Bombyx mori: one gene and its partner. The protein of the gene in region 2 interacts with the protein of the main gene of each other region in a pairwise test. Links are inferred from orthologs where the notes say so. Each region holds a gene or a part of one and is shown on either strand. Other genes may lie near its edges. The genes, in order: prefoldin subunit 2 and prefoldin subunit 5.

Region 1 (12,247 bases), on a different chromosome or scaffold from region 2:
GGCACGCCGCGGCGGGCGCACTGCGGGGAGGGCCCGCGCCGCTCGTACCGCCTGCCCCACGGGATGTGCGATAAGGGATGGTTGTGGTGAATACACAAGGACATATTATGACAATGTATGTGTAATGTAATATCTTTACAGCCTCCGAGAAAACCACACAGAACGTAAATTCATCAAATAATACCTCGGTACTTACAAAACTGACTACTTAAAATCTTAGTTCGGACCGCCGAGACGCGACTCGGCGTCAGGGAAGAGCGCGGCCCGCACCGTGCTCCCACCGCGCGGCCGACACGGCGCCGTGTGCGGACCCTCTCTTGGTACAGGGCGGCTCGTCCCGAGGGAGCAGGCGATGGAGTGCCACCATTGTAACACATTTATTTGTGTCTGCAGGTTCATAGAATTCATGCCATTTGCCGGCAACGAGTGGAAGTCGGGCCGCCTCGTGCCGCACCGCGAGGTCCTGCGGGCCGCCCGCGCCGCGCACCCCGGCCTGCGCCCCCTGCCCCCGCGCCCCAACGACACCGCCACGGTACCCCCCACACATATACTGCACTCAATACTAGATGACAGGTTATGTACGTAGTAAAGGTACCATTACTCTGCTCGATTATTTATAAAATTGACAGTGAAGAACTTGCTAGCTCCTTCATAAACTTTAACCAGAAGTAGGATTAGTATATTATGCTCTGCTAAGTAGGTACTGTTATTGAAAATCGCGAGAATCCTCTTAATCTGGGCAGCGTAGGGCCGGACATTGCAGCGAACCTGCGACCATCAGAGAATGCCAAAGGCTGATAAACAAACTTATAACAAAAAAATTAATTTTCAAATAATTTAATTTATTTCTTCAAGCTAATTATTTGACTTGAATATCTCACATCGCGTACGACTTGAGTTTTATCGATTGCGAAACAAACGCTGTAATGAGTCTGGTTCGTTGGACAGCTGTGGAAGGTGGGCGGGTACGCGGGCACCGTGGGGTTCATCTCGTCCATGACGCAGCACTTCTGCGCGACCTGCAACCGACTGCGCCTCACCGCCGACGGGAACCTCAAGGTGAGCGGGGCGGGGGCGCGGGGCGGGGACCCCGGGGGCGGCGCGGGGGCGGCGCGGGGGGCGCGGGTCCCGGTACAAGCGGCCGTGTGTGTGTGTGCAGGTGTGCCTGTTCGGGGCCGCGGAGGTGTCGCTGCGGGACGCGGTGCGGGGGGGCGCGGGCCCGGCGCGGCTGCTGCAGCTGGTGCGCGCCGCGCTGCACAACAAGAAGGCCGCGCACGCCGGTAACTGGGCAGCTGCTCTCTCCTACCTTGCCGCTCTTGCCTCTTCGCCCTGTCCACCCTCTCTGAACTAGTTCGTGTACTCTGCACAATCAGCACTGCACGAATGTAGCATCACCGGTCCCCCTCGTCCCGAACCCGCTTGTGCTGCATCAGCTCATTTCCTTTACTAACATTGTTCGTCTTGGAACGAGTTTCGACGCGTTCTTGGTATTTCAGTAGCGCGAGCTCGGTCCGGGCGGCGCGAGGAGGCGGGCGAGCGACGGGGGGCCGGGGGGTGGGGGGCGGCCAACCTCCGCACTCTCGCTGATCCTTCCTCTACTTATAGGAATGCAAAATTTGGCGCACATGGAGAACCGGCCCATGATTCTCATAGGCGGGTAGGTGACTTAACCTCGAGAGACGGGCGCGCGTTCAAAGTACAGGGGGTCGGGGGGAGCGGCCGGCTACAGGCGCGCGCTTACTGCACGGGGGGGTCGCGGGGGTCCGGGGGGTCCGAGCCGCCCGCCCGCCTCTCGCACCTGGACGCGCAGGGCCGCGCCCGCATGGTGGACGTCAGCTCCAAGCCGCGCACGCAGCGCGCCGCCGCCGCCGAGTGCGAGCTGCGCGTCGGCGGCCGCCTGCTGCGCCTGCTCCGGGACGCCGCCATGCCCAAGGGAGACGCGCTCACCGTTGCCGAAGTAATTTATTTCTCGAATTCGATGCAGACCCAAATGGAATCTTTAAAATGAATGATTAAGTCAAACACTCCTTACAGATCGCGGGAGTGCTGGGCGCAAAGCGCACGTCCGATCTGATCCCGCTCTGCCACCCGCTGGCGCTGGAGCTGGTGCGCGTGCGGGTGTCGCTGCCCGGCGGGGAGTGCGCGGCGGGGGGCGCGGTGCGGGTGCGCTGCGAGGTGGGGGCGGAGGGCCGCACGGGGGTGGAGATGGAGGCGCTGGTGGGGGCGGCGGTGGCCGCGCTGGCGCTGTACGACATGTGCAAGGCGGTGGACAAGCACATGTCGGTGTCGGAGCTGCGCGTGGTGCACAAGTCGGGCGGGTCGACCCCGCGCGCCCGCTCGCCCCCGCCGCCCCTGCGCGCCCCCGACACGACCCCGCTCGACCCCAAGGAGACCTACGCGCCCACCGACCTCGCACACTTCTAACTGGTCACCACAAACCTGTGACTAGTGGGTAGTGCCGCGCCGCGGTAACGCTGTGCCCTCGCTCCTCCTCGTGCTTTACTTCGTGGTTATGAATTTAGCTTTTAAGGTAATGGTGCTATTGTACAATATTAACCAAGAACAAAATTAACTACTGGATGTTAATAAAAAACAACGTTAAGTCTTCAAATTTTATTATAATTTAAATACATGTTAATCAAATGCGACATTAGAATCTTCTCACACTGGGCTCCGGCTGCGCCTCTCACGGACATAACACAATGCTAACGGAATGCAGAATGTTAGATTGCAATTATTTTGGATTATCATAGAACATCATCATATATGACTGGTATATCAACAAACTTGAGGAACAGTCAAAGCTGTTAAATTGTAAGACATTTAGATGTGCTGTGCGCGGGATATTATGCGAATTGCTCGGCCAACTAACTGTATGGCCTTCTAATATTCATTCTACTTCATTTCGTTCCTAGAAATATGAGTTCGAAATCTCAATTGCTTTTGAAGGTTCCACCTTACCTGAACGTAACTGCTTCTTGGAATAAAATGGATGTTAGTGGCGCCCGCCGTGCGGCTCCACTAGACGCCATAGTTCGCCAGCACAACACTCAGAACTATTTTAAGTGGAAACATTGTAAAAAAACCTAAATCCATCCACTGTGGTTTCTAATACCCCACCTGATACATGGAGGTAAGAAGGCAGGGCCCGACTAAATGTAAAGTTTGGATTACAATAAACATGTCAACGAAAGGACTTGCATGCCAATTGTTTGTTATCCTCTGTGGTATCAACAGTATTGGAGATTAGTCGTCAGACCCTTACAAGTCCAAACTACAAAAATGAATTTTTCAGAAATATATTTTATACAAAATTACTTTACATGAAATAAATATTAGTACACTTTTTTTTGTTTAGTTATTCTTTTCTATATTATAAAATAAAGTTTCTTGTTATTCCTGGCTATTTTTATTTTAAGTAACAATAAATTTTAAGGTTCCAAAAATTAAAACCAAATATGAATCTAGCCATGATCATGTTTTATAATCATATTAAAATTCACCTGATGAAACAGAAAAAGTTGTCACTGTTTTATTGTGACATCCCACCTGGTATTAAAATTTTATCAGACCTCTGACAACATTATGAATGTCACCATCCTGCTAAGAGTATAGGAAGTTTTAATTATATTGTATAGTTGTCCATAGAAATAAGGTAATAATCTAACCATGCTCACTTAGAGTATGGTGCAAGTAATAAATTATCCAAACTTATTAACTTTTCAGTTGAGACTTTTTACACAAAGTTATTACCTGATTGCCATAGTTCATCTCTGAACTCGGACATGCGTATAGTATATCATTCAAATTGTTGGCAGTAAGTTGGCTCTACCCCTGGCAATGGTGAGCCGTATGCTCGTCTGGGCAAGGGCAAATGAAAAATTCAGGCATTCAGGCTTGTTAACTGGCCAAACACTTCAAAATAGCAGTAAACCTTAAAGCTATGTACACAGTTAAACAATACTCTCAAGGTTTCAGTGATATTTCTACTTATTACAGTTGCCTACCAATCACATTGACTCTGCATAGGTGAGCTTCAGATGCTGTGACAGCATTGGGAATATACATATAGCACAATGTGGAAAACATTTTACTATTTAAATTATTTTTCTCTCATATATTACTCTAATGTTTAGAGTTTAAACATTCAAAGCTTATTGTTTTTGATTAGAAATATATCACTGTCACCTTAGACATTGTTAAAGAATGGTGAGGACAACAACAAAAAACTCCATATTGTCTTGACTTCTTAAATGAAGCTATTCTCATAATTGTTGGGACAAAGAGACTGCTTCTCTGCATTTGTATTACATATTCCATGAAAAGTGTTGAAAAGTTGTTCAAGATCTATTTTATTATTAAAGTTTATTATCATACTACTTTCCACTAGACAAGGGTTCATATTCTACTGCCTGAAAAAACTGTTTATTGAGTTTAATTCCACATTATTTGAGCACATTCAGCTGGGGAATTAATTATTCTCTGTGGAGTTTTCGCTGTAGTATTCCTTTCTTTAAATATGTGGTTAAGTGTCTTGGAGTATTGTCACACTAAAATGATTTATTTATCTGGTTGAGATGGATATTCAGTTAGATTTTCCTTTTCTTGTCATCATATTCATAAAGTACTGCTTCATAATACCATGTTTGCCCCCCTTGCCCCTAAACATCAGCCAGAACTAATTTATCAAGCCACACCGTAATAGTATTGTTAATAATAAAAAGTTTCCCAGTACTACCTCACACTGCTTTAGGCAAATGTAGGACTAGTCTCACTGTCAATACACTGCGACAGCTATATGAAATGAAAGGATCAGTATAGTTAACCGCTAGCAACTAGCACATTAGACTTGGTAGAGGTGGATTGCTCTGGAGGTGGTTCAGGCATGGTGCGATCAGCACGTTGGATGCGAATATCATGTTCCTCAATGTATTTATTGATCTCCTCTCCCTTCTGAGTGAGTTGGTCTTCTAGGGACTGGATGGCCTTAGGTAGCTGTTCATAATTGCTGATCAGCTCTGGCAACACCTCAGCTACGGTGCGTTCGACAAGCACGCCCCCAAACATCCGGAAACACTTACGGGTCAACTCCACTCCCCGCAAAGTCTCAATTACGATCCTGTAGACATAATTTACTATGTATTTTGTATTTTTTTAAGCAGTAGATTGATATGCAATAGATTTATTCCACATTTACTCACTTATGTTCGTTTAACTCCATTTGTAATTCTGATATTTTACTCCCTAATTGACGTTGTTCATTACGAAGAGTTTGGAAACCAGCAAAGATTTCCTCATTCGTTTTTTTTCCTACTTTTGATGTATTTTTAGCCATTTTACTCTAGGTAGGTAGGGGAAATGGAAATCAAAATTTTAGGATTTTTTTTTATATAGTTTTAAAAAAAGAGTAATCAATTTAACTCTCTTTGAAAAGTAAAAATAATCACGGTTTACTGAAAGTTTTAAAAATAAAAGAACATGTAAATGTATTTTAAATTAACAAAAACTCAAATTAACTAGTTTTTATCGAATACACGGATTAGGTTATGTACATTAATGTACATGTCAGTTTTTTTTTTGCGAACGCTGGCTACTTTACCTTTTAGGCAATTTTTTTTTTTATTACTTCACAAGAAAATCTTTACCCTCAAATAAATTGTGACCATAGTTTGTGAAACACTTGAGATAAGTTTGAGTCATGACAACCAACTCCTGAAAAGCATCTATTATATTTAAAAAGCATTTTTGGGACGTATTTTGATAATATCCTAATCCTTAGATTAAAAGCATTAAAGTCTTTGTCTATTACTAATAAAATTTAAACTACTAAGTTCTAATAGTACAATAGTTGGGGAAAAAGTTTCTTCGCATTTTTTAAGAAAATTCACATTTTTTAATATTGTTTATTTACATTTAACTAAAGTATGTAGGTACCATTTTGTTCGATAACTTTTTGCCATCTTGTAGGTAGGGACATGATCCCATTGCTATGGGGCTTCCGATCAAAATACCGCGACAATTGGTTTTGGCAGTCCTCTCGTGATGTTAACCTGACAATGCCTAAAAAATTCTGAAGAGATCGAAACAGGTGGAAGTCTGAAGGTGCAAGGTTAGGACTATAGGTAGGAACATTTTATCCGTAATACCCAGCTTAGATAAGAAAAAAAAAATGTATGTGTGACGTGTGTGCAAGTCACACACGGTAGAAGTGAAACCTTTAAAAAATAAAAATTATCGCAAGGGTCAACCACTCCATAGTGCAATGGAGCAGCCTCACCCTGGGGGAAACCGCCTGCATGATCACCGTATCCCTACGCCAAGTAAGTATGATTAGATTATTTTTTTCCTACCTATGCTGATAGCCTTGAGAGGCTATATCAGTGTCGCCTTAACTAGTAGGTGAGCTCACGGGGCTCAAGCCGGATGATGTTGTTAACACAAACCCTAGCAAGAGCCGTGCTTCGCAGAATCTACCACCTGATCGGAAACGCGACCCATTGAGAAGAACCGACGAGAAACTCAGTGGGCTGTGTCTGAGGGTTACTTTATTCGTCGAGCCCTTCGTCGCAAGCGACGGGTTCGACGAGAACGATGACGGGTTCGACGAGAACGATGACCGGTGCTTGAGGTACTTAAAAGCACTGTTAGTGGATCGGGAGGATCCGAAATGACGTGTTTGGGGCGACGTCGACAGCTTTCCATTCTCACCGCAGGATCGGGATTGTAGTTACCGACGGCCACGATGAGAGGGTTCTCGTGTCGTGCCGCTTTATCGAAGTGGCGCATTGACGCCGACTGAAGATACTTACTGATGGACTCTAAGTCCAGGTCGTCGTGGAGCTCCGACGGCTATCCTGCAAAAACGGGATTGAATAACTTGGAATGATTTTAAGCTAGTGCGGGCCGCGTGAGCGAACACTGCGCTTGCATAGGTCATATCAGGGCGTACGCAAGTTTTGTAGAGTGTCACCCTATTTCTAAGGGATAATTTACTTCGCCTGCATATCATCGGATAGAGAGTGTAGAGACATCCTAGTATGAAGGCGGCATGATCACGTACCGTCTTCAAGTGGGGGCGGAATGTCATTTCTCTGTCGAGGGTGACGTCTAAGTATTTGACCTTCGGGGCCGACGGTATGGGTTGGTCGTACATGATGAAGAGGCGAATGGCGGAGGCGGAAGTGTTAACGCGCCTAGTCGGGAGTAGGATGTTCCAAGTGGTTGTGATTGAACAAGAGAAATACGAGAACGTTTATCAACTGTGTAACATCTCATCACCGCGATTCAGGAATTGTTGAGTTTACGTGCAGTGACATCTGTTGATAACAAACTAAATAGAAATAAAAGTATCTCAGGGCGCTCCAAGAGCCACGACAGCATGCACGGACATCAAAAACACACTGAACTAGTCGAGGATGCGAGACCGTGTGGAGTGCTTCGTGATTTGTCGGCGCCGCTCGGAGCCGCTTCGGCAAGCCAATCGCGGCACACTTATTTTTTCGTTTCGTTTCATTTCGTTTCATCGAGTTTGAAAACACAACGATTCTAAAAAAGTTTCACTTCAAAAAATCACGTAATGATCACATATTAACCACAGTGTGTAAATGTGTAATGTGTTGAAATGTGTAATAACAGTGGTTTATTAGCTGTTTAATATTTGTGAAAGTGCACAAATGTGGGAAAATGAAACAAAGCCGCTGGACATAATCTCTTGGGACCCTCCAAAAAGTCCACTGAAAAAATCTCAGTAAATGACCACTATTTTAGTGAGATTACATTTCATCTCATCTCATTTAATTTAATTTCATCCCAGTTGAATAATGTCTCAAATTAATAATCTTCATATTATTTCCCTCAATATTATAATTTAATGTCTCGTAGCGATCTTGATTAGTTAACAATGAGCTATTCCTTTGGCTGATTTTAATCTTAGTAGTGATATAAACAGAATCAGTTGTCCAGTGATATCTTCATCTTTTGTTGTACGATTTAATTTCTGTTCTGTAAGGTAGGTATACTGTGCCTCCTTAATCTAGTAAACTGCACAGCTCCTGTGCCTCCTAGGTCCGACGCCAATTTATTGACGTGTGTCGATAACCTGGCTTGGTATTTTTTGCTGTAAGCTACTATTTCCTCTTTCACTGTGGGAATATTTAGGTCCATTTGTATGATCTTGTTGCTTATGTAATGCGGTATTCTTACCATTGTTCTGAAAGTTTTATTTTAAAACCTTTCAAGGATCTCGACATTGCTATTGCTGGCAGTTCCCCAAAGCTGTATGCCATATGTCCATATTGGCTTTAAGATGGTTTTGTAAATTAAAATTTTACTTTCCGGCGAAAGTTGGGATTTCCCTCCAGTCAACCAGTACATATTTCTTAGCTTTATGTCCAATTGTTTTCGCTTAGACCAGATGTGCTTTTGCCATGTCAGTCTTCGATCCAGATGTATGCCAAGATATTTTGCATCTTCCGCTTGCGGTATGTTTTCGTTGTATAAGCTTACAGGTGGACAGGTTTGTTTCCTGAGGCTGAAGGTAACGTGGGATGATTTGCTTTGGTTTACTTTAACTCGCCACGTATTAAACCATTTCTCAAGGTCATCTAGATGTGATTGTAAGTTTTCAAAAGCTGTTGTAGGGTCGTCAGGAACAGACATAATAGCTGTATCATCTGCGTATGTTGCAATGATAGTGTTTCTGTTGGTTGGTAAGTCTGCTGTATAGATGAGGTACAGGACAGGGCCGAGTATGCTGCCTTGTGGCACACCAGAAGTAATCTCATGCATTTGTGATGATTCTCGGTTATGTTTAATCTCAAAGCATCGTCTATTAAGATATGACTTAATAATAGCGTAATAGCTGTGTGGAAATATTTTTTTCAATTTGAATTTATATTGAAATATATAAAATAATTTAACTTAAAATAAGACATGACCTAAAGGTCTTACTTACCAGGTCATTAAATCCCTTAAAAAAACCTTCTGTCTTTGTTTTGTGACAGTCAGTGACAGTTCGTTAGTACACATAGATTATACACATAAACATAGCATGTCAAACCATTGATAAACATTCTTTGAGGATATTGCATACGATTACCACTAAAATGTCTCTATTTCCAGCGTATAGTCAAGATTGCGCAAAAGTAACTGAAACAAAAATATCGAACATTGATGAGCGTAAGATGAATAAAATGCAATCTATATTATTTTAATAATATTGTTGACGAAAGGCTATAACGCGTTATCACCTGCAGGGGAAGTATCGCCGGCTGGTGAGGAACAGCTGCTCGCTAGTGATAACTCTACCGACGAGTATCCAGCTCCACTACAACCACCACTCCAGAGTGATCTTACATCTCCTGACTTTTATCTCGATACCAAGTTCGACCCCGGTAACCTGCGAGTCTCAACCTTGTACTATCCCGGCCGACCTGAGTAAGTGTTTTTAATTTCATTTTCACACTGTCCACATCTCGATGAACTGTAATTAGAAAGTTGATTTTACTTCAAGCTTTGAAATATTATTCACTGATGGGAAAATTATGCTCGAATGTTTTTTTTTGTACCTATTTACTGGTAGCGTAAGGGCTATTCCAGCTTCTCATTTACAGGCAGCTGAGCTCATGGACTCAACCTGAGAGAATTTGCTAACACTAACCTTAGCAATAGCAGTGCTTTGTAGAATCTACCACCGCATCGGAATCACAAAATGTTGTCCTAAATGAATCTTTTCTTGAACCTCAACCTAGAATAGCATCACCTCATCTCTTCCCTTGGGAGTTGTAAAAAGGTGATTATGGTATTCAGTACAGAAGAAAAGAAATTAATTCTAAGGACTGATGGTAAATGGCCAAAAATATCCCTGGAAATGCACCGTGAATACAATAAAAGAAAATAATAGAAATTTAGAGCAGTTAAATATTTTTTTAGACATTCTATCTCTAAAGGAGAGAAAAGCAGAAATATATTTAGAAAATTTTATTCCTTGATAATTTTCACTAAATTTATTATTTTTTTATTGCTTAAATGCGTGGATGAGCTTACAGACCACCTGGTGTTAAGTGTTTACTGGAGCGCATAGAAATCTGCAACCTAAATGCCGCTACCCACCTTGAGACACGAGTTCTAAGGTCTCAGTATAGTTACAACAGCTGCCCCACTCTTCAAACCAAAACGCATTACTGCTTCATGGCACAAATAGACAAGGTGGTGGTACCTAACCGTGCAGACTCACAAGAGGTCATACCGCCAGTAGTTACGCAAATTATAATTTTGCGGGTTTATTTTTATTACACGATGTTATTCCTTCACCGTACAAGTTAATCGCGAACATTTTATTAAGTACGTATTTCATAAGAAAAATTGGTATCCGCCTGCGGGATTCGATCACTGTTGCATCGCTAGATACGATTGCACCGGATGTCTTATCCGTTAGGCCACGACAACTTGATTAACACTAATACTAACACGACATTAATACTTCATAAATGCTAGGTAGACTTGAAAAGTTCTTTATGCAAATAGTGAAATGTAAAGTACACAATGATAACATATGGATGTTATAGAGGGGAGCGAGTCATAATTAAACAAGATGAATGTCGAGAAAATGTATTTTTGTATGAATAAGCATAAAAATAACCCCTTAAACTAAAAATTGTCATTAATTACACTATTTATTTAACAAGGTCTAATAAGGTCTGATAAAATTTGTCTGCTCTTAACATTCTATTCGTAGTCTTCAGTTTACCTGTGATCATGAAGCTGGCAACAACACTGAAGTATGGGGAACTCATTATACATGAAAATCATGGTAAAGACCTGTTAAAGAATAGTGTGTGTAATGTAGGTATCCACAAAGTGTGCAACAATTTGTAAAAATGTGCCTCAGAATTCCAAATTTAGTTTTGATTGGGCAGCAGGGCAAGGAAAAACATTTGACTTTACTGTACCCTTGGCATTTTTTGTGACGTCATAAGCAACAGTGATCTTCCACCATGTCAAAACTCAATAGATATGTGACTAAATCACGCTATGCTTTGTTTGGTATAATATTTTCTAATGGTATTGTTGCTTTTGCTTAGTGTGTAGTAATTGAAGCTAGCAGTAGAAGTAACACTAATAACATTATGACTTTGTAGTCATCTGGTTATTTCCGGCATATGATCATTTATCTGTATAACTTATTAATTTCAGGTACAAGGCCATAGGTAGAGTAGTGGGTAAAAAACGCAAGCGTCGAAAAAGTGAGGAGCGCTCATTCCGCTACTGGGAGGTGAACATCCCAGTAGCGGACCTCAGCGCCGAGCTGGCTGCTAGGGAGCGGGCTCTCACTCAACAACTAGAAAAACAACCCAACGACGTCGCCCTGTGGCTCAGGTTTATCGACTTTCAGGTTAGTGTCATTAATCCAAAGTACATTCTAAGATCACACATTATATCTGAAAATTTTCCAGATCTTGTCTAGGTATTGTCACTTTTTTATTTCTATTCTATCAGCCCACAGATGTCCACTGCTGGACATAGGCCTCCCTCAAGCTTTCTCAGAGCAGCTCCGCTTCCTGGTTGCAAAAACACAGACTAGACTTGTCGCTGCCGACCGTCGTGCCTATGATGCTCGGCAGTGACGAGTCTTGGCAGACGATACTCGACTTCTACGAGTCCACCATCTCGCAAAAGAAGGCTGCGGAACAGGAGAGGGAGAGCTCTTCTTCCCTCTTGGCGCCGTCGAGCCGGGGGTGGGAGGAGGGCGTTCGTCCAACTCCGACCCTGTGAGGAAGCAGTCTCTGGGTCACGGGGCCTGGTAGGGCTGCCGTACCGCGAGGACCAGTGTCGTTGGTCGTCGACGACCCGTTATCGCGGGTGTTGACCGCGGGTACCTCCTCTACTCTGACCGGGTTCTGGCCCGGGCGGAGATCTGACATCGGGTGTGAAAGTGCAGGGGAGTCGTTTGATGCGATAGAGCCTTAAAAATATTCTCGGGTCCGCGATCTGCTCTATAGATTATCAAGTCCCATATATCCCGTGCGCCCCCTAGGCGCGGGAACCTCGCAGGAAGTTCAGCCCCCGACCCGAAAAAAAAAAGATCCTATCTCTCAACTTGAACACTAAAAACCAAAGACGACGAGAAAGAAGGGCCAAGTTTTATTAAAGTTCATTAGTTTAGTATTGTATTGTATAAAAAGATAGTTTGAAAGAAAATATCTCCAGGAAGCTTGGCGAGGCCCCGAGGCAGGCCTGCGGGCGGCCG
Region 2 (12,035 bases):
GTAGGACAATTCATTTGCTCAAAAACTCCTGAAAGTTCTCGCGCCAACATTCAAGATAACTTTCTGAAGTCGCGATGTAGTTTCTGTTTTTATCCCAAAGCAGTTTCTTTTGGGTCTCTTTCTCCCTGCCAGCTCTTTGGTGTCACCGTACAATTGCCTCAGGTTGCCCGTATCGACTGCTGCTTGAGCACATTCAGCTTACCGTCAGTAGATCGTCGCCTGTATTTTCTGGTGCTGCGATAGATGCACTCATGTACGTATTTGACTGTACTGGTCCCTAAGGCAAGACCGTTCGGCTTTGTTCGGGGTTTCTAGGATGTTTAGGTGAAGATCGCATCAAGTCTGTTTAAGGTCACAAGTGTCGTCGGAGGTCCAATCATCGCGCTTTTTTCCAAGATGATCTAAGACAGAAGATCTGATTTCTTGATAGATTTGATTCGGTTGCACTCTTCGTCTGTATTATCAGTATTCGCATAGAGACGGAAGAAACAATTTCGGAGTTCCAAAGCAAATTTACTTCGAGAAATCTTTCTATCAAGTTGTCCCCAATCGAACTTAAGTCGTATCTTGTTGCTGCCAGCTGCTCGCCTCGTAGTCGCAACCTTGTGCCGGAGTTCAGCGACCATCAACATATGACCACTGCCGATATCGGCACTACACTTTTTGTGAACACTTGGCAGCTAGTTTGGTCTTCGTACGTATGTTGCCATCGGGTGAAGTCAACGCATACTTATGTATATTTTTATCATGGAAAAGTGTACCTCCGATAACAAGGTCGTGGTTTTCGCAGACTTTAATAAATTGCTTCCCTTAGTCGTGTTGGTCCGTATTGTCGCTTTTCCCTATCGTATTCATAACTCCTATCAAGATGACGGTATTGCTTTCGAATGCCTTCAGCGCGTTTTAAAGTTGTGTAAAGGAATTATGAAGTGTGCCTTAAATGTTCTAAGAGTTAAATAGAGTTTTAATTTGTACTTCGGTGAAAGTTTTATTTATCCCGAACCCGAGCACGTCACAGTACTATTTCTAGCACTACACTAAAAACATGTGACCAACAAAAAAAGTACTAAAAAAGCTATGTCAGGCCAAAAGGAGTGTTTTGATGTGCGCTTTGGGAGTCTTAACGACGAAAGGAAAGATCTTCCACCGAGCGGGTGATATTGCTCGGTAGACCGACGGTCCGAATGTCGTTGTTCGGAACTTGTATTTTTTTTATTTTTTTATTGCTTAGATGTGTGGACGAGCTCACAGCCCACTTGTGATGGGATGTGTGATATATGCGCTTTATCTTGAAAATGTCATAAGCGAGATTCAGGCATCTGTCAATTATCTTGCGTTGTATGATGGCTACCCGCCACACGCTAAGAGTGCAGAAAAGTTTTTATTCCACGGTTTACTTGTGAAAATAAACCAAGTTTATAGGTAATTTTGAAGTCGTCGTGGCCTAAAAGACGTCCGATGCATTCGTATGTAGCGATGCACCAGTGTTCGAATCCCGCAGGCGGGTAGCAATTTTTCTAATGAAATACGTACTTAACAATTGTTCACGATTGACTTCCACAGTGGAGGAATAACATCGTGTAATAAAAATCAAACCCGCAAAATTATAATTTGCGTAATTACTGGTGGTAGGACCTCTTGTGAGTCCGCACGGGTAGGTACCACCGCCCCGCCTATTTCTGCAAGGTGTGTGGCGCATTTACGTTGTAGATGTCTATGGGTTCCAGTAACCACTTAACACCAGGTGGGCTGTGAGCTAGTCCACACATCTAGGCAATAAAAAAAAAATGATTTCATACTTATGAAGAGTGTCATGAAAATATCAAATCAAATTGGTGAAGATGGACTGCTGTTTACATTAGAGTAAGAAAGCATGTGATTTTTATATGTATATATTCACTATAAATATTCATTCAAAATAAATAAAAATAGAAAACTAAAAATCTTTCATTTTGCAATTTAAATCATACCTATTTGTTTTGTAGAAATAGGCAAAATGTTCTCCATTCTTTAGTTTTTACAAAACTTGTCTCGAGGGCCAAGCCAAATTTCACATGACAAAGTCACATCTATACTTACACATGTAAAATAGTGCAATCAAATTATAGGTATTGATCATTTCATCAATAATACATACCCTGTTCCATTCAGAATTTGTATGAGAGTACGACTAAACCCGCATCTTGGAGTTTCCTTGTTCCCTTTCATGAATACCATTATATTATGCTTATTTATTAAAGCTTTTAGTCGATCTTCAAGTTTCTGAGGGGTTATTTCTGCAGGACTCTTATTAAGACTCTGTGCTTTAATTTTTGTGCTAATTTGAGCAGCATCTGCTCCATCAATCCTGTCTACTTGAGTTCCATTCTTAAATAATATAACTGTAGGCACTGAATCTACCTGAAATAAACATAATCATTAATAAGTTGTCTAAAACAGGCTTTCCCTATTTTGATTGTTTTCATTATAAATTATTTCAATATTCAATTACATAGGCTCTTTGATTGCTTAACTGGTCTAGTGTAGTGTTTCCTAAAGTAGTCTATTTCAATCTGAAGAATGACATAAAGTCTTTAATGCATAGTTGAGTAACCAAAATCAAGATACAAATTGATGTATCCATAAAGGTATATAAGCCGACTTAACCTAATAAGTGTATGGCTTTAATAAATAATAAAAAAAGTATACACAGGTATTGCAATAGGTGACTTAATTGTCTGTGCTTTATGATGCACTACATTTTTAGGGTTAGCACTTATTACTTTTTATTTAACAATATATTAGCAGAGCATTACCTTATATTGCAAGGAAACTTCAGAAAGTGCCTCGGCATCACAAACAGCACATTGTGTCTTGCTCGACTGAATTTCAGGAAGTTTTAAGAGTTCTTCAAGTACATCTGTAACTTGTTTACATTGTTCGGCCCATTCTGCTGAAAAGTGTACTACTCCAAGTGCAGGTGATCTAAATTAATTAAATAATTTTTGATATCAGCCAATACCAAGATAGATATTAAAGAATCATCTTGTTGTGATAAAAGATTAATTGAAAGTAATATTCTCAATTTTATATTCTAAATACATATTTCCATTTCAATGAATGCAAAATGTTGACCATCCTGCTACATAGTAATTTATTATCTAACATTTTTACCTATTTACTGTGTATTTAATTTAATTTCTTTTTATGGCTTATTTTTAATGATCCTTTCACAAACGGTTTTAAAAGTACTTTTTTATTAGCGGTGATTCTTACCTTATAAAATTATTAAAATCTTCAACAGAGTCCAATTTACTGACCGACATTTCAGTATACTATGTTTAGGTTACTTTAATAAATTTTGTAAACAGTATATAAGCGCCACTGGATTACAGCAAGATTGAATTACAATTACAGCAAGATCCGGAATCGTAGGTGTACTCGATGCAAAAATTACAATTTATTTAATCATGTTCATTCAGTTTCTGACATCTCTGATTAGGGATGTGGTCTAAGATCGATACTTGAGTAAATTAATTTGTTAACAACTTAAATCGTGAATAGTGAAACATCTTAAGCAGTAGAAAATCGAAATTTGATGAAAAGGCATTAATAAAGTATTTATGGTTCAACTGATTATGAATATATTAAATATAATGTTTATTAAATTTAAATTTACATTTTAAATAATAATAATTTAAAAAGTTGTTGTATATAAATCATGTATTTATTAAATTTTTTGAATGAATTTGTTGTTAATTTCTGTTTGATTGATTTTTGTGTCATTTTGGTTGCACTTGGGTATTTTCTAGAATCGATTTTTCAAAATTTTGGTCTGAAGTCGAATCATCATCTCTATTTCGAGCCAAATTTTTTTGTTTGATTTGTTTTTTGGACAAGCAAAAGGAGTCATAAATAATAAATAGATGTACACAATAAGGAGTTTTAGCAACACAGCGAAGTTATATTATGTCATGTATATCTTATTTATTTAAAATCGCTTAGCCATCTTATTGTTTACGGTTAATGATCAAGCTTAGTGGTAGATTTTTTTGTGTCTGAGCCAATTTTTTTGCTAATTTATATGGTGATTAAAAGGTTTGCTTAGTCATTGCTCTCTCGAAATGCTCGCAACATAATTGTTAACTTATAAATTTATTAACCTCTTTAATACGATTTTCGTTAGCGGTCAAATTGGTAGAAAACTACCAATATGACTAGCCAAATTGATACACACTAATAAATCCAGTTTAGTTTCTGTAAATTCTCAACATTTTACTAAGAGGTTTTCTTTATCGATTTGTTTTTTTCACTTATTTGGTGTTATAGGCAGAATTTGTTTGCATGTCAATTTGGACCAAACAAGTAAAACTGTCAAATTGACATATTCTGACTGAAGTTTTGGATCCTACCCGAAATCTACCTATTTTGAGGTTAGAAAAAAGAAATAGTCTTAGGATCCTACAAAAAACTAAATAGAATAACTAGAAACGTGTGTTAAGTTCTTTTATTATTTCCTTTTATTAATATTTACAAAGATGGCATCCGGTTCAGGCACTCAACAAATCGATTTAAACAAACTACCTTTGCCTCAACTAGCTCAATTGAAACAGCAGTTAGACCAGGTATGTATAAAGGAAATATCTATAGAGCTATTTTAGAAATAGTAAGCATTAAGTATTATTTCTTCAACATAATATAATTTATACAGATAATTATTAAATGTCGTAACTATTAATGTCCTTAAGAGACAGGACTTATGTCCTATTTTAAGGACCCTCATGAAAGCCGGAATGAAAACATTTCCATATGTTTTCTGGTCTGAGTTGTGTATCTAGGTGTACTTGTTAGTGACATGAACCCGGACCTCAAATACCAACTCACAAAGCTATGAATCTAAGATATGTTAAAGAGAAGACTTCACTGAATGTGCTCATTTTTGGTAGACAAGCAGTCATCATGTTGTTGTTCTGATCTTTTATTGGAAGACTATTTCGTAAACAGTCAGCTTCAGGTCATATCCGCTTTTCTTTATTGTATTGTAGCTATTGCTATAATTAGCCAGAAATGGAACATCAAACATAATGACTAAATTGAGGGAGACATTTTTTTTATTGCTTAGGTGGGAGGACGATCTCACAGCCCACCTGTTGTTAAGTGGTTACTGGAGCCCATAGACATTTATGATGTAAATGCGCCACCCACCTTGAGATATGTTCTAAGGTCTCAAGTATAGTTACAACAGCTTCAAACCGAAACGCATTACTGCTTCACGGCAGAAATAGGCAGGGTGGTGGTACCTACCCACGCGGAATCACAAGAGGTCCTACCACCAGTGAAAATGTGTCTGTATGTTAGTAACTGATGTTATGTTACAATATGCATTAGTAAAACGTCTGCCCTTTAGTCTTTAGGTCTACTTTGGGAGTACTTGGGCAGCTGTTAGTAAATCTGACTCCTCCTGGCTGCTCCCATGCTTGCCCTGCCTATCTTAGTGAAGCAGTAGTGGCCTCCTTGCAACCAGCTATCTCCATCCGAAAAAAAGGCAATACTCTCACACAAAATCCATAAAATTTTATTTCAGGAATTGACAGTATTTCATGATTCAATACAAACATTACAAATGGCTAAAAATAAGTTTGGTGAATCAGGAGATGTTCTAGAGAAGATGACGCCTGATATCAAAGGAAAACCGATGCTTGTTCCATTGACTAGTTCAATGTATGTTCCTGGCACAATAGCTGATGTTGAGAATGTCATTATTGACATTGGCACTGGATATTACGCTAAGAAAGTGAGTAACTTAAATCTATACATATAAATAAAATTGGAGTGTCTGTTTTTAATATTGAAATAACCGCTTTTTACTACATGCATATGAATATATACAGTACATACACCAAAATAACATTTTTTACAATTTTTGTCTGTCTGCCTGTCTGTCTGTTTGTTCCGGTTAATCTCTGGAACGGCTGGACCAATATTGACCAGACTTTCACTGATAGGTAGCTGATGATATAAGGAGTAACTTAGGCTACTTCTTAGATTAGGTTCGGCCCGCGGCGTCGGTTATTGTCGTACCACGGGATAACATCGCGGGACTCAGCTATCAATAATAAAATTTAATGTTTCCGAAGCGAAGCGAGGCGAGGGGGGGCGCTAGTTAAAAATAAATTTAAACCTAATTTAACACTTAATTCAGCTCCAAGTTTGGCAGGATAATATATCATGTATAGCTGCTGTTTTCATTTCAAACCTCATTTCAGAAAATGTTGAGTACTTTAGAATATTGGTATGAAGATTGAATCATGATATAGTTTCAAATAATTTCAAATTAACTGCATGGGTTACCCCTTAGGGCTAATGATGCTGACATATGTTTGTATTACGTTTTATTTCTGCTTCTAGGACATTGAAAGTGGCAAAGATTACTTCAAGAGAAGAGTAGAATTTGTTACAGAACAAATGGAGAAAATAAGTATGTTAGGTGCAGAGAAATCGAAACTCCGTGAAGCTGTTAATGCATTAGTTGAAATGAAAGTTCAAAACGAACTACAAGCAAAAAAAGCTAACTCTTCATAACATATCTGAGACTTAATTTAAAAAATATTTTGTGGAGAGATTCGTGTCCTTTTAATGTATAGAGTTGACCTAAATTTTCTGCTTTGTTAATTTATAGTTTATTTAAAGTATTTTAATTACTTTTTAAAACATTTTAATGATTACATCTTAGTGTTAAAAGTGGAATCATTTGTGTTTTGTTACCACGTATCACCCTGTCCTAATCAAAGTGGTTACTATTGCTTCTGTACATCAGTGATTTCAGAGCAAAGCCAAGTTTCTGAATGTATTAACGTAATCCCAACAGCTATGACTTATACTGATATTTTCTAATGTAAAGCTAGATAATATTATTAAGCCACATCAAAGCTTTTCCTCACATTTTCTTTAATTTTGGATAAATTTTGAAACTAATTACCTAAGGTAATATTTTGTGTTTAGAATACTCCTCAAGAGTACTACTCAATAGCATCAAGTAATGTTAATAATATTCTTAATTCATGTTTTGTAATTTTGTAAAGCTTTATATCATTTCAAACTATGTGTTTTACAAGTACAAGACTCATTGCTTAGTTTTAAATTTAATTCAATGTAACAAAATGTGCTTATGTTTAAAATAAATATATAAATATATTTCCAAGTTTTACTTGAACGATCCAGTATAACAAAAAAAAAACGCGGCTAAAACAAACATCAGCAAAAAGTGGCTTCTTTTTTTAAGATATATTCTGATACTGTTTTAAATGTTTTAATGATCTAATTATTGAATTCTGAAGAATAACACCCTGTATTGTTGTTGTATCTAGTAATAATCAAATTCTAGAAGGATAGTTACATACTCGTATAAATGTAATTTACAACTTTCTTACACAATCCATAGATGAGTCGACTATTATCAAAGCCGGCAATCTGACTTTTGGACAATTATTGGTAAATTAGAAAAACGAATTATTGACTTTGTATTCCATTGGCAGTCACAAAACTCCTCGGAACGACATCTTAGATAAATAACAGGTTAACTATTAACCTTTATTTAATGCAGGTTTTGAACCGTATTCTTTGAAGGAGACGATTATATTCAAATCAATCTGTATTGACATATCAATAACATTTTTTTGTCCAAATGCACAGATTGCCACCTTTGATAATAGACGACTCGGATGTCGCCTTTGTGTATTGCTAAACTCTTCTTTCTATAACTTACTAGGGACCCGCCCTCGCTTCGCTTCAAAACTGTAATTTATTATTGATTTCTCCACTACTTAATGGATGTTATTATACATATAAACCTTCCTCTTCAATCACTCTATCTATTAAAAAAACCGCAACAAAATCCGTTGCGTAGTTTTAAAGATTTAAGCATACATAGGAACAGACAGATATAGGGACAGAGAAAGCGACTTTGTTTTGTACTATGTAGTGATGATGATGATTAATGCAGTCTCGTCCGCGCGTAGCTACAATAGCCCCTTAAACTACCAGCAAATAGGTAGCGAAAAATGCACAGCTATTAGACTTAAAGTCTGTACAATATCACAGTTTAAAATAATTTAATTCCATGATTCGAATACTAGGATTTTCACTATCTCATAAGTATACCTACCGTAAGCGGCAATCTAGACGATCAATTATATTGCCTGGTATTGCGAACTTGGCAGTATTTTTGACTAGGGTTAATATTAAAGATTGCACGATGATTGAACGTTTTTAACTATATAGTTTAATTTTTATTGCACCATATTTATTTATTGCATCATGTACGGTCAGTGCAATGTTTTAAGTCTTTTTTTTTATGATTAAAGTATTACTGGTGCCTCGGAGGCCTTTCCAGGTTCACCAGGACAGGTGGGCGAGCAAATGCTCAGCCAGGAGGGGTGAGATTTGCTAACAGCTGCCTGAGCGCCTCCGAGACCAACTCAAGAGTAGCTGCTTCGCGAATGAATCTACTACCGAATCGGAATCGCGACCCGCTGAGAAGATCCGGCGAGAAACTCAGCGGGCTGATGGGTTAGGTTGCACGTCGAACTCTTTGTCGAGTTCGACGAGTACGGTTACCGTGTGTTTTTGTCTATGGTTCGTCTTGACAAGGAGTATACGCGCTGACTGAGTTCGCGAACATTGTGCAGTTCGTATTATTGTGCAATATAATTGATCGTTTAGATTTAGAGCGCCTTTAAACCTTATTCTAGGTACATTATATTGTATGGTACAATGTTATTGTAGGTCTAGGGGCCGCCTAAGACGTTATTAACAATCACGTCTTTTAAAAACACGGAACTTTCTTCAAATATTTAATGATATATCTCTCTCTCTCTTTCTCTTCGATCGGTTCCTCACTGCTGAGGATCGTGACTCCGTCCGATTTCGTCAGCCAACTGTCTCCATCGAACCCGTCCTGCAGCCCGGTGGAGTGCATCGCTGATAGGTATCCCCAGTTCCTCCGCTATTTGGTCCGACCATCGTTTGGGACCTATACCCCTAGGCCTTTTTCTCTCCATTTTACCAGTCACCACAAGGCGTTCCAAATTGCTGGTATCCCTACGTGCAACATGATCAAAATACCGCAATATTCTTTGTAGGCAGATTGTGGATAGACGTTGAATCTTATAATGATATATAAATTGCGTTAAGTTCTGCTAATTTTTTGTCTTTCAAATAAGGTTTAAATTGAGTTCATAGTAGTAGGTGGCGTCTTAGGCTCGCAGGTCTCCGGATTTGCTGATGTCCATGAGCGTCGGTGACCAAATACTATCAGCTGGGTCGTAAGATTGTCTATCTTTTACTATAGTAAAAATGTTCCCTATATAGTTCCTAGGGAATTTATTTCAAATTACATTTTTATAAATATTCCTCAAAAACAGGTGCCTCTTTTAATTCCAAACCCTTTAGAGCGTGCAATAGACGTAAAAGTCGAATGTTGATGGTTGATACAAAGTGGTATGTAGATACATATTTCTTTCTAGATGTATCTACAGACTTTCTGCGATGCCTTAGCAATCCGTAATCATTTAGCTCTAGGTGTAGGTATCACGAGTCCGTCCACCAACCCAAGGCTTAAAGAAAAATCGACGCCGCCAGCTTTTAAACATGTGGTCAAAATATCTACATATGTTTTAGAACATCTGTTTTATCCTTCACACTGCATAATTACTTTGCTGATTACGCCCTAGTGTATATATTCTGTGAAATCTTAATTTCTCAGTTAAATCCCCATGACCTTGTCTTTGAATTTGAAAATCTGTCTCCTAAGATCAAGCTGAATCCGTTTAGGGTTCCTAGGCACATTACAAGACACACAAAATATACTCAATGGTGCTTGGGATTTATTTTTATCGTGTACGATCTAGCGGTGTATTTTCATCATTTAAGATTGTGCTCGGCGTAGCTTATATCTCACTAAATTTTCGAAGATTTTCGTAGTACTTAGGTTTAGAAATTTTAGGAATATATCACTACATAGTACAAAACAAAGTCGCTTTCTCTGTCCCTATATCCATTAAATAGTGGAGAAATCAATAATAAATTACAGTTTCCGAAGCGAAGCGAGGGCGGGTCGCTAGTTGGTAAATAAACCAAATAACAGTACAAGGCTACCAATAGTGATCGAAGCCTTAATGTCACCATTCCTTAAACAAAGTGCACCAGAAACTGAGTGCTTACAATTTGCGTCTTCGCGTTAGAATATAGGAAATTGTGTACAATTAGATAGATAGTTTTCATGGTCACACTCTTTGTGTATGAGCGCAAACTTCGGAAGTTTGACCTTACGCTGTGGGAATAATAGGATTTTTAAAATAAACTAAACTTTTTAGTGACACCAAATGTTTTCTTTTATTCATTACTAGGCCAAAATGATAGCGCTGACGCCTTTTTTTTTTTTTTTTTTTTTTTTTTTTTTTTTTTTTTTTTTTTTTTTTTTTTTTGTCAGGAGGAAATCGCCGGACTTCCACCCTTCACTGGGGATGGAGGGCGGGGCATGTCGGAGTCGAACCGACTAAAACCTCCTGTCTCTCAACAACCAACGTCCAAACCTCGCATGAGACAAAACTCATGAAAAGGCAAGGGGGGGAAAGTGAAGCGTTTAGTGCGGAGCACATCTCTCCCATCACCCTCCCCCTCGGGACGCCGGACTGGCGGTCGTCGGCGCCACGACCACCAGCCCTCTCGGTCGGCAGGCTATCCGAAGCCCGCCTAGATGGCACCGGTTAGAATGGTCTATCCTACGGAATACCCCGCTGGGTTAGAACCAGCGTGGGTTGAGGATAGCCGGCCTTCCATCACCCGGATGCTCATGCATAAAACGCGTGCAGAGCAGCTTGCACGTCGTCTTCTTAGGCCCCCTTCGCCGGTCCCCAGGCCGACATGTGAGGGAGACCCGAAACACTTAGAGGGCCAGGGCTTGGGCGAGATCCGCCTCCCTGGCCCCCGCTCGACGGCGGCGGGCCTGTGCGTCTCTCACGCGCCCCGCCGCCTCCTTCTGCGAGATGGTGCACTCGCAGAAGTCGAGCATCGCCTTCCACGACTCGTCGTCACCGAGCATCGATGCCACAACACTCGGCAACGACAAGTCGTTTCCTATTTTTGCGACGAGGACACGGCGCCACCCCTCCCATGCGGGGCAGGCGACGAGCGTGTGCTCCGCCGTGTCCAAGTCGCAACCACAATGGTGGCACTCTGCCGTCGGCTCGGCTCCGATCCGGTGCAGGAACTCACCGAAGCAACCATGCCCAGTGAGCACCTGCGTGAGCCGGAAAGTGAGGCGTCCTCTGTCACGATTCACCCAGTTCACAAGAACCGGGCGAATCGCCTCGACGGTCCTACGACCAGCCGAAGGATCGGCCAGCCGTCTGGACCATGACTCCAGCACGGACCGCCGAGATTGGGCCCTCCGCGCTCTGACCACACTGGGGCTGGGACGTGCCATGCCCCGGGCACGAAGGTCAGCCCGCCACTGATAGTCAGTGGCGAGCGCCTCCGCCTCCAGGACCCAAGGCGGCGTCCCAGCCAGTACACACGCCGCCTCGAAGGAGATGGTGCGATAGCCACGGATGACCCTGACCGCGATGGTGCGTTGCGGCCGTTGCAGCAGCTTCGCTACCCCCACGGCCAGGGACTGGCCCCACACGGGCGCCCCGTATAGGGCCATTGATCGCACCACCCCCGTATAGAGACGGCGCGTCACCTGGTCAGGCCCCCCCACGTTGGGCAGAAGCCGGCTTAACGCGCCGGCCACCCCCAACAAACGAGGGACCAGGTTCTGAAAGTGAGCACGGAAGGTCCAACGACTGTCCAGAATGAGGCCGAGATACTTCAACTGCACCCCGACCTCGATACGGACGCCTCCAACCATGATATGGGCATCGACAGGTGGCACTCTCCGGGGCCTGTGGAACCACATGGCCTCGGATTTACTGAGCGCCACGTCGAGGCCCAATCTCCTGATTTTGCCGACGACATGCGCCACCCCAGCGGTGGCAAGACGAGCAGACTCAGCA

The links.
Region 1: the proteins of prefoldin subunit 5 (region 2) and prefoldin subunit 2 interact in binary tests that used the Homo sapiens proteins (3 or more experiments, as listed by UniProt). The link is inferred for Bombyx mori from reciprocal best matches to the Homo sapiens genes PFDN5 and PFDN2.

What each region holds. Positions count from the first base shown.
Region 1 is NC_085129.1:188,809-201,055, reverse strand, and holds prefoldin subunit 2, read right to left. Parts: upstream 5,692-12,247; 5' UTR 5,336-5,691; coding exon 5,202-5,335; intron 5,120-5,201; coding exon 4,822-5,119; 3' UTR 3,284-4,821; downstream 1-3,283. Other genes in the region: molybdenum cofactor biosynthesis protein 1, read left to right, coding at 394-532, 949-1,059, 1,160-1,280, 1,497-1,957, 2,035-2,424; uncharacterized protein LOC101745338, read left to right, coding at 9,105-9,177, 9,255-9,435, 11,194-11,392, 12,208-12,247. UniProt on the Homo sapiens protein: Binds specifically to cytosolic chaperonin (c-CPN) and transfers target proteins to it. Binds to nascent polypeptide chain and promotes folding in an environment in which there are many competing pathways for nonnative proteins.
Region 2 is NC_085112.1:5,059,146-5,071,180, forward strand, and holds prefoldin subunit 5, read left to right. Parts: upstream 1-4,361; 5' UTR 4,362-4,517; coding exon 4,518-4,604; intron 4,605-5,563; coding exon 5,564-5,773; intron 5,774-6,387; coding exon 6,388-6,561; 3' UTR 6,562-7,173; downstream 7,174-12,035. Other genes in the region: glutaredoxin 3, read right to left, coding at 2,138-2,400, 2,796-2,964, 3,256-3,305. UniProt on the Homo sapiens protein: Binds specifically to cytosolic chaperonin (c-CPN) and transfers target proteins to it. Binds to nascent polypeptide chain and promotes folding in an environment in which there are many competing pathways for nonnative proteins.